3 linked regions of the Saccharomyces cerevisiae S288C genome follow. The protein of the gene in region 2 interacts with the protein of the main gene of each other region in a biochemical or structural test. Each region holds a gene or a part of one and is shown on either strand. Other genes may lie near its edges. The genes, in order: COY1, SED5 and NYV1.

The links.
Region 1: the proteins of SED5 (region 2) and COY1 form a complex in vitro, tested with the Saccharomyces cerevisiae proteins (one study listed by BioGRID).
Region 3: the proteins of SED5 (region 2) and NYV1 form a complex in vitro, tested with the Saccharomyces cerevisiae proteins (2 studies listed by BioGRID).

The regions. Positions count from the first base shown.
Region 1 is NC_001143.9:109,915-114,181, reverse strand, and holds COY1 (CCAAT displacement transcription factor COY1), read left to right. Parts: upstream 1-1,678; coding exon 1,679-3,718; downstream 3,719-4,267. Other genes in the region: STE3 (Ste3p), read left to right, coding at 1-967; 60S ribosomal protein uL22 RPL17A, read right to left, coding at 4,053-4,267. UniProt on the Saccharomyces cerevisiae protein: May be involved in intra-Golgi transport.
Region 2 is NC_001144.5:194,950-198,499, reverse strand, and holds SED5 (t-SNARE syntaxin), read left to right. Parts: upstream 1-2,027; coding exon 2,028-3,050; downstream 3,051-3,550. Other genes in the region: aspartate transaminase AAT2, read left to right, coding at 415-1,671; ESCRT-III subunit protein SNF7, read right to left, coding at 3,326-3,550. UniProt on the Saccharomyces cerevisiae protein: Required for vesicular transport between the endoplasmic reticulum and the Golgi complex. Acts as a target organelle soluble NSF attachment protein receptor (t-SNARE).
Region 3 is NC_001144.5:325,960-329,235, reverse strand, and holds NYV1 (Nyv1p), read left to right. Parts: upstream 1-1,820; coding exon 1,821-1,836; intron 1,837-1,977; coding exon 1,978-2,723; downstream 2,724-3,276. Other genes in the region: GIS3 (Gis3p), read left to right, coding at 1-1,506; SUL2 (sulfate permease), read right to left, coding at 3,011-3,276. UniProt on the Saccharomyces cerevisiae protein: Vacuolar v-SNARE required for docking. Only involved in homotypic vacuole fusion.

The sequences.
Region 1 (4,267 bases), on a different chromosome or scaffold from region 2:
CTTATTGTCTCCGACATGGATTACCACTGTTTTGTATACCATGTGGATGCTTATATGGTCATTTGTGGGCGCTGTTTATGCCACCTTAGTACTGTTCGTGTTTTATAAAAAACGCAAGGACGTTAGGGATATTTTACACTGTACCAATTCAGGTTTAAACCTGACAAGGTTCGCAAGGCTGTTGATATTCTGTTTCATTATTATTTTAGTCATGTTCCCTTTTTCTGTTTACACCTTTGTTCAAGATTTACAGCAGGTAGAAGGACACTATACTTTTAAAAATACCCATTCCAGCACCATCTGGAATACCATTATTAAATTTGACCCTGGCAGACCAATTTATAATATATGGCTTTATGTTTTGATGTCTTACCTAGTATTTCTAATCTTTGGCTTAGGTTCTGATGCTTTGCATATGTACTCTAAATTCCTGCGTTCCATCAAACTAGGATTTGTACTTGACATGTGGAAAAGATTCATTGATAAGAATAAGGAAAAACGAGTAGGCATATTGCTAAACAAGCTGTCCTCACGCAAAGAGAGCCGTAACCCATTTTCTACAGACTCTGAGAACTATATCTCCACGTGTACAGAAAACTATTCTCCCTGTGTAGGTACACCAATATCACAAGCGCATTTCTATGTCGACTATAGGATTCCAGATGATCCTAGAAAATCTCAAAATAAAAGCAAAAAATATTTGTTTGCTGATAAAGAAACAGATGATATTCTTGATGAAATAGACCTAAAAGAAAGTAGGCACATCCCTTACGTCACGCAAGGACAGAGCTTTGACGACGAAATATCACTTGGAGGATTCTCAAAAGTTACTCTCGATTATTCAGAAAAGCTTCATAATTCTGCAAGCTCCAATTTTGAAGGGGAAAGTCTTTGCTACTCTCCAGCTTCAAAAGAAGAGAATTCAAGCTCAAACGAACATAGTTCAGAAAATACTGCAGGCCCTTAACACAAGAGTGTCGCATTATATTTACTGGACTAGGAGTATTTTATTTTTACAGGACTAGGATTGAAATACTGCTTTTTAGTGAATTGTGGCTCAAATAATGTAACGATGAGCTCATCAGCTAATATGTGGCTTAGCGGTAAAAATGACGAATTGTGTGTAAACTTTACTTTAATATTTACTGCTTTTTTGCTACTTTGGTTTCTATTTTTTTCTATAGAAAAGCAATAACGTCTGTATTATATATAAATATAAGGAGAAATTGATACAAGTTCCACACAAGAAAAATTTTTTAAGCTCGAAACAAAAGTAAGCTTTTGCTCCAAAAGTCGATTAGCAGAACAGTCTTTAATAAACGAGAGAATTGGCACGATCACTTAATTGGCCATTTTTTTAGGAGCATACCAAAATTCAGGCCAGGAAAACATGAAAGAGCATCATATCTCCGCTCATAATCAAAGAATATTTAGGTACCCACAATTTCAGTTCGCTCTATCACTATTCTGCACACCAAGTTGTAGTGGTTACTTGTGTCATTCAAGAAAACCATTACTGTCATAGAGAATGTTACGTAACAAATGATATTATCTTGGGGCTCATGAAAATGCCAAAATAATATGTTTAAGAGTTTTGAATGAACACAGTACAATAAATTGTGCGTAATTGCTTCATTTCTTCACTCTGTTATATTAGCTCGTCAAAAATAATTTGACAATGGATACGTCAGTATATTCTCATGCATTGGATATTTGGGCCAAGGCAGATTTAACGAATCTTCAAAGAGAATTGGATGCTGATGTTATAGAGATTAAGGATAAAGAAACCCTGTCCTTGAATTCAAGAAAGTCATTAGCCACTGAGACTAAAAAATTTAAAAAACTCGAACCTGAGGAAAAATTGAACAATGTGAATAAAATAATTAAGCAGTACCAACGTGAAATTGATAATTTGACACAGAGATCAAAATTCTCTGAAAAGGTTCTTTTTGACGTATACGAAAAGCTTTCAGAGGCTCCTGATCCACAGCCGCTACTACAAAGTTCGTTGGAAAAATTGGGCAAAATTGATGACTCGAAGGAACTTAAGGAAAAAATAAGCTACCTAGAAGATAAGCTAGCCAAATATGCAGATTATGAGACTTTGAAATCAAGGTTACTGGACCTAGAGCAAAGCTCTGCAAAAACATTGGCAAAAAGACTGACTGCGAAAACTCAAGAAATCAATTCTACCTGGGAGGAAAAAGGAAGAAATTGGAAAGAGAGAGAAGCAGATCTATTGAAACAATTAACAAATGTACAGGAGCAAAACAAGGCACTAGAGGCCAAAATATCTAAAAATATAGATATAGAAGGTAATGGAAACGAAGATGGTGACCAAGAAAACAATCAAAAAGAAGTATCTACAAGGATTGCTGAATATAATCTAGTAACACAGGAGTTGGAAACTACGCAGGCTAGAATATATCAGTTAGAGAAAAGAAATGAGGAACTAAGTGGTGCTCTTGCAAAGGCAACTAGTGAAGCAGAAAAAGAAACTGAGTTACATGCAAAGGAACTAAAACTTAACCAGCTGGAAAGCGAAAATGCATTGTTGAGTGCATCCTATGAGCAGGAACGGAAATCAACATCACATGCAATAAATGAGTTAAAAGAACAATTAAATAGCGTTGTGGCGGAATCGGAATCTTACAAGTCGGAGCTAGAAACTGTTAGAAGAAAACTAAACAATTATTCTGATTACAATAAGATAAAAGAAGAACTTTCTGCATTGAAAAAAATTGAGTTTGGGGTAAACGAAGATGATTCTGATAATGACATTCGCTCTGAAGACAAGAATGATAATACTTTCGAAAGTTCCTTACTATCTGCAAATAAGAAGCTCCAGGCTACTTTGGCGGAATACCGCTCAAAAAGTACGGCTCAAGAGGAAGAACGAAACGAATTGAAAAAATCTGTGGACCAATTGAAGCAGCAAATAGCTACTCTCAAAGAAGCAAATGAAAAATTAGAGACGGACCTAGAAAAAGTAGAGAACGTCAGTCCTCACTTCAACGAGACTGCAAGTATGATGTCTGGTGTAACAAGACAAATGAACAATCGTACGTCCCATAAAATGTCCCCAACGAGTTCTATTATTGGTATTCCAGAAGATGGGGAACTTTCTGGAAACCAATCAACCATTTTACCAATAGTTACTAAACAAAGAGACAGATTTCGTTCGAGAAATATGGATCTGGAAAAGCAACTAAGACAAGGAAACTCAGAAAAGGGTAAGCTTAAACTAGAAATTTCGAAGCTAAAAGGCGACAATACGAAGCTTTATGAACGGATTAGGTATCTGCAATCCTATAATAATAACAACGCTCCCGTTAATCAAAGTACAGAGCGTATTGACGTGGAATCCCAATACTCAAGGGTGTATGATGAATCGTTGCATCCAATGGCAAATTTTAGACAGAACGAATTAAACCACTACAAAAACAAGAAATTATCAGCTTTAGAGAAGTTATTTTCCAGTTTTGCAAAAGTCATTTTACAAAATAAAATGACAAGGATGGTATTCCTCTTTTACTGTATCGGTTTACACGGACTCGTATTCATGATGAGCATGTATGTGATTAATATTAGCGGCTACATGACACCTGAGGTTGGTATAGTACAATCGGCAAAGTCTTCTTCAAATCTCAACGGAGGACTTGGGGGAGCAGAAAAAGTAGCTGCAGGCGTTGGTTCAGTTCATGGCATAAATCGATAGATGCCTTTATTCACTAAATTCTAATAGCTCGGTATGAAGAACGCACACGTTCCGTACTAGAGAGGGAATGAGTAACGATTGACATATTGATATAGACAGTAGCATTTCTTATTATCTTATCTACGGGATTTTTTCAGTTTATGAGCATTTCTTATACCTTTGTTCATTATAAAACTATGTTCAATACTTTGAACGTAGGATTATCCGATATAATATAATAATATTAATAAAAAACTTATTTTAGAGTTATGTGATATGACGGGGAGATAAAATTACATAGATAAAAGATTAAAATTAACAGAGAATTATATTATCATTATTTTTCATCTTCTATTTAAGCAGCAATACGCTTTTGGGCGGCGATTCTACCTCTTTGTCTAGAAGTCAATCTAACGACCTTCTTTTCAGCAGCCTTGGCGACAGCTTCTTCCTTTTCAGTGACAACTAATTCAATGTGGGATGGAGAAGATTCGTACTTGTTGATTCTACCGTGAGCTCTGTAAGTTCTTCTTCTTTGCTTTGGAGCTTGGTTAACTTGGATATGAGAAA
Region 2 (3,550 bases):
ACTAGTGGCATCTATTATACACAATTACTCCAGTAGCTGCCACAAAGCACCCAAAGATAAGAATAATTACGGAAAATGAAATTTTTACTTTGAATATGATGATATGGGCATTGCAGGTTTGTAGTAAGAGCAATTTACAGGAATTCCTGACGGAATATTAATGTTTTCTTACTGTTTAATGCGATGTACATATTGTCAATACTAATGGTCACCACTGGAAATGGCTATCTTTCGTCTTCGTGAATAACGATCGCCGAGAGTCGGACCGAGTGAGTCAGCGTGATCGGCCTCATTTACCTTGTCGCCTTGCACGTCGGTATATAAACGTATGTGGATACTTTAAGAAGGGAAAGCGCAACCGTCCAAATTCTAATGAACAAAAGAACACAGGAATACAAGAACACAAGAGCGATAATGTCTGCCACTCTGTTCAATAACATCGAATTGCTGCCCCCTGATGCCCTTTTTGGTATTAAGCAAAGGTACGGGCAAGATCAACGTGCTACCAAGGTCGACTTGGGTATCGGGGCCTACAGAGACGACAACGGTAAACCATGGGTCTTGCCAAGTGTTAAAGCCGCCGAAAAGCTAATTCATAACGACAGCTCCTACAACCATGAATACCTCGGTATTACCGGTCTGCCAAGTTTGACATCTAACGCCGCCAAGATCATCTTCGGTACGCAATCCGATGCCTTTCAGGAAGACAGAGTAATCTCAGTACAATCACTGTCTGGTACGGGTGCTCTTCATATATCTGCGAAGTTTTTTTCAAAATTCTTCCCAGATAAACTGGTCTATTTGTCTAAGCCTACTTGGGCCAACCACATGGCCATTTTTGAGAATCAAGGCTTGAAAACGGCGACTTACCCTTACTGGGCCAACGAAACTAAGTCTTTGGACCTAAACGGCTTTCTAAATGCTATTCAAAAAGCTCCAGAGGGCTCCATTTTCGTTCTGCACTCTTGCGCCCATAACCCAACTGGTCTGGACCCTACTAGTGAACAATGGGTTCAAATCGTTGATGCTATCGCCTCAAAGAACCACATCGCCTTATTTGACACCGCCTACCAAGGGTTTGCCACTGGAGATTTGGACAAGGATGCCTATGCTGTGCGTCTAGGTGTGGAGAAGCTTTCAACGGTCTCTCCCGTCTTTGTCTGTCAGTCCTTTGCCAAGAACGCCGGTATGTACGGTGAGCGTGTAGGTTGTTTCCATCTAGCACTTACAAAACAAGCTCAAAACAAAACTATAAAGCCTGCTGTTACATCTCAATTGGCCAAAATCATTCGTAGTGAAGTGTCCAACCCACCCGCCTACGGCGCTAAGATTGTCGCTAAACTGTTGGAAACGCCAGAATTAACGGAACAGTGGCACAAGGATATGGTTACCATGTCCTCCAGAATTACGAAAATGAGGCACGCATTAAGAGACCATTTAGTCAAGTTGGGCACTCCTGGCAACTGGGATCATATAGTAAATCAATGCGGGATGTTCTCCTTTACAGGATTGACTCCTCAAATGGTTAAACGACTTGAAGAAACCCACGCAGTTTACTTGGTTGCCTCAGGTAGAGCTTCTATTGCTGGATTGAATCAAGGAAACGTGGAATACGTGGCTAAAGCCATTGATGAAGTGGTGCGCTTCTATACTATTGAAGCTAAATTGTAATGATTAAATAATACTTATACTTACCTATTACACTCTTCATATTTTTTTTAATGTAAAGAAAGTAAAAAAAAAAAAAAATAAAAAAAAGAGAAATGCTCTTTCTTTACCTTCACAGGTGTATTATTATGTTGTTGTAATATCCGGGTAGGTTTATTGATCGAGGCGAGGCGAAAGGGCATATTCGAAACAATCATTATGATAATAATGTCAATATAGAAATTGAAAAAAAAAAAAAAATCCTACCGCCGCATCGACGCTCCTGTTAGACCTTTGAACGGAAATCACCCACTCTTTACTGTATATATTTTATTCCACCTCTGTTTCCAACGACCATTTCACCATACCACACAACTCCCATGAACATAAAGGATAGAACTTCAGAATTTCAACAAAGTGTGTTGAGTTACAAGAAAAGAAACAAAAACTTTAGAGAACAGCAGAGGGAACGTCTACAAGAGAAAGAAAGTGAAAACTTTGCCAACAACACAACCGGCAATGGGAAAAGTGTCTCTGAGTTTCAAAAAAAGGCTTCTGGCATAGCTCACGAAATTTCATCCACCGCACAATTATTATCGAAATTAGCAGTGCTGGCCAAAAGGAAACCGATGTTCAATGACAACCCTGTAGAGATTGCCGAGCTATCATTTTTGATCAAAAGGAAGATTTATGCCATCGAACAAAGTTTAGTGCAATTAAGTCAGCTCAAGAAAACCGACGTGAATGGCAACACATCAAATCAATCTTCTAAGCAACCTAGTGCCGTACAGCACTCCAAAAATGTCGTAAATCTTTTAAACACGCAAATGAAAAACATATCAGGAAGTTTTAAAGACGTATTGGAGGAAAGGCAACGACTAGAAATGGCTAACAAAGACAGATGGCAAAAACTAACCACCGACACTGGACATGCACCAGCTGATGACCAAACGCAAAGCAATCACGCCGCGGACTTGACCACGTATAACAACTCCAACCCATTCATGACCTCACTACTAGATGAATCCTCAGAAAAGAATAACAACTCGTCCAACCAAGGAGAACTGTCTTTCCCTCAAAACGACTCTCAACTAATGTTAATGGAAGAGGGACAGTTATCCAATAACGTCTACTTACAAGAAAGAAATAGGGCGGTGGAGACAATAGAATCCACAATCCAGGAAGTGGGAAATCTCTTCCAACAACTGGCCTCCATGGTTCAAGAACAGGGCGAAGTAATCCAAAGGATTGATGCAAACGTAGACGACATCGATTTAAACATTAGTGGTGCTCAAAGGGAACTTTTGAAATACTTCGACAGGATAAAGAGTAATAGATGGTTAGCCGCAAAGGTTTTTTTTATAATCTTTGTATTTTTCGTTATTTGGGTTTTAGTCAATTAAAAGCAAAGTAAAAGAAAAAAAGATACATATTTGATTATTTATTTTTTTTCCTTCTCTCATCTTTTCTGTACAATAATATAGCAATAACAGATAAAAATAATGAATGCACATTCCCTTCTATACCTATGAACGCAAAAAAAAAAGACAACAAAAAAATAAAAACTATTAATTATGACTTAGCATTATGAACTTCATGTATATAAAAGAGCGTATACAGAACATGGAAAGTAAGAACACCTTTTTTTTTTCTTTCATCTAAACCGCATAGAACACGTTCAAAGCCCCATTTCTGCTTGTAGTTCTCTTAATGCTTTTTCATCTTCATCTTCTTCATCCTCTTCCTCTTCCCCGTCCTTCACAGAGTTCTCACTTTGTTTAATTTTATTACTTGGAACACTAGGTAGTGAGACTTTGTTCTCTGAGATAGGCGCCGCATTAACATTATTATTAACGATCTTGGACGTTTCTTGGTTAGCATTTTCTTGAGCCAGCATGTCCAA
Region 3 (3,276 bases), 130 kb from region 2:
CTGCTGGACGTGAACACAAATCACACACTAATGCACGATGCTCATGTGCATGAACATTGCCTCATCAAAAGCATACGTGATGATGGCGCATTGCACTCATGGAGCGACTCATCAAAGGTATTTTATCCCAAGTCATTTTACGCTACCGCTACTAATAAGAAGAATAACAAGTTAGCCAGCGCCAGCATGAACAAGACCGCCACAAGTAATAGGACGGTGAGCGATGAGATTTATTTCCACTCCACTAAGCCGCAGTTCGATGGTCAAGGAAGCGCTGAACGTACTAGAACACTAACCAAGAGGAATAGCTTCAAGAGGACTAGAATACTGAAGGCTCGAGACGATTCCGAACTGCTGAACGAAAATCGCTCATCTTTGATGACCCCGTCCTTAAGCTCGGTCATGTCGCAAGTTAGGAAAACAAATTCCGCCAAGACGTTATCGGGCGAATGCCCCATACATGAGGGCCACTTAACACAGAGCATAAAGAGGAAGTTCTCCGAGGAAGCTCAAAGCGACTGTTCTTCATTGAGCTCCTCTAAACTTCATCCCTTGACAGATGATATTGCTGACGCTGTCGATTTGCAGACCCCCGCGATTGGCGATGAGGTACTGGCTGAGCCGGTCGTGCCCAAAATGAAAATAATAAACATAAATGATCTCGATTTGTTCGACGACTGGGAGGTTAAGGATTTAGTCGATATCTTTCCTCCCGTATACGAACGGCGTCCGCGATCGTCCTCTGCCCTTTCACTGGTTTCTGCGTCGTCCGATGCCAAACTTCGTCCGACCTCTGTGGACTTCCAAATCATCGACAAGAAAGGCGGCAAGACTTCAAGAAGGAAGAGTAGGAGCAAATCGACTACAGAAAACATGATTTACGAAAATGACCTGGTAGAATTAGAACAATGGCCATCTGCATCACCATCGCCCGAGACCGACGGTTCGATTGCATCTAGCGAGCTCTTGCCCAATAAAAGAATAAGACAAAAAAGTTTGAATACCAATTTCCTAAAGTTATACTCTATTGAAACATCATGTAAAAGGAAGAGTATTTTACCCGAAGTCGAAGTAGATGACCATCTGTTGAAGCAGCTAACGTATTCCGAAATTCGGTCTTTGGAAATCAAAAAGGAGCCAAATGTCTCTACGAACGATATTAAGCTTGCCCTAATTACTAGGAAAAAATTATGGTCTGACATGGTCCATGAAACAAGAAATGATCTTTTTGGCGATTCTACCCCCTGGAATTTGCACTTTGTTGCAACGACAAGCAATACGGAACCTTCGCAAGGCCGTGAATCCGCAAGCGAACATGCAACGGCGGATTTGAAAAGTTCTTTGGTCCGCGTACACTCAGACGTCAAGCCATGGTTCAACAATGGCGGCACAATGCTCAAACCATGCGGAAAACTAAATTTAGGCAAAGTCACCAATAAGACTTCCGCACCTACGAGAGAGATTCAATATGTCGTAAAGGGCTGGTGTGACAGCAGGTTTCTCTGATAGACCCCCCACCTTTTCATCGCCTTCACCCCACCCATTTGCATTATCTAAAAATAGTAAACTATATATTCTACCACCACATTCATTATATATAATATTTAAAACAACGCATTACCACCAAGCGCCCGGGTAATATTCGCCTCAAACGATCGAAGAAAGAAAAAATGAGGTCACAATAATGATGAAAAAAAGCCCCTCTATGAATTTTCTAGCACTTGACTAAGTTGGAGCAACAGCTATTAAATTTGAAGAACAGAGTGAAAAGCGACAATTTATTAAGCTGTTAGAGCATTGGACTTTTATATTTTTACCAAATGAAACGCTTTAATGGTATGTATAAATATTTCTACACAATTAACAAATGTTTAAAAAAGGGATTATGCGAATGCTCATCCCCCCATGCCATAATTTTACTATGTTACATTCAGTAGACTAACGTTCCATTTTGCTTGATTTTGCATATGGTCTTAGTAAGTTATGTGGAAGTTATAAAAAATGGTGAAACAATATCTAGTTGTTTCCAGCCGTTCCAGAAAAACGAAAACTATGGTACAATAACTTCAGCAAACGAGCAGATAACGCCGGTCATTTTCCATAATTTGATCATGGATATGGTATTACCCAAAGTAGTTCCGATCAAGGGGAACAAAGTTACCAAGATGTCAATGAATCTCATCGACGGATTCGATTGTTTCTACTCCACGGATGACCATGACCCCAAAACTGTGTACGTTTGCTTCACATTAGTAGATATGCCCAAGATTTTGCCCATCAGGATACTAAGTGGGCTGCAGGAATACGAGTCCAACGCTACAAACGAACTTTTAAGTTCGCATGTAGGTCAAATACTAGACTCTTTCCATGAAGAGCTGGTCGAATACCGTAACCAAACTTTAAATAGTTCTGGAAATGGCCAATCTAGTAATGGGAATGGTCAGAACACTATAAGTGACATCGGGGATGCCACCGAAGACCAAATAAAGGACGTCATCCAGATAATGAACGATAACATCGACAAGTTCTTGGAGAGACAAGAAAGAGTTTCTTTATTGGTGGATAAAACTTCCCAACTAAATAGCAGCAGTAATAAATTTAGGCGCAAAGCGGTCAATATAAAAGAAATAATGTGGTGGCAGAAGGTCAAAAATATTACGTTATTAACTTTCACTATTATACTATTTGTAAGTGCTGCTTTCATGTTTTTCTATCTGTGGTAAGTAAATAAAAAAAAAGGGGAGCTGTCCCACGACAATAACATTAATAACGGTTGTATTTCTTTTGTTCCTGAGAGGAAGAGAAAAATAAAATAAAAATAAGGTAAATATTTATAGGTATGTATATGCTCACGATGGCACCATCCTACCTATTATTTCTTATTATATAAACAGTGTCTATCTCATTATGATATTAAATGTATACTTTTAAGGGGGAAAACTTTTTGGTTTAGGAATATAGAAAAAAAGAGATGATATAAATGTTTGCATGTCCATTGTAAATGCATTGGCTAGATATCCCATTTAGCAAAATCTGGGATATCGATATGGAAGAAAGGTAGATTTGTTCCTGAAGCGGTATAAACGCTATATTTTTCAGGATTTTCTTCGCCTTGAGGTACTCTGGCGACGTGATAACTTGTATGACCGGCAACAATGGATTCATCACTGTATTCTTCGTTCAGAGTACCAAATCCTCTGCTAATTAAACCTCTCTTCACCCATGGTGAAATGATACCCACAAAGTGGAATTCAACTTGCCTATCTGCATATTGAT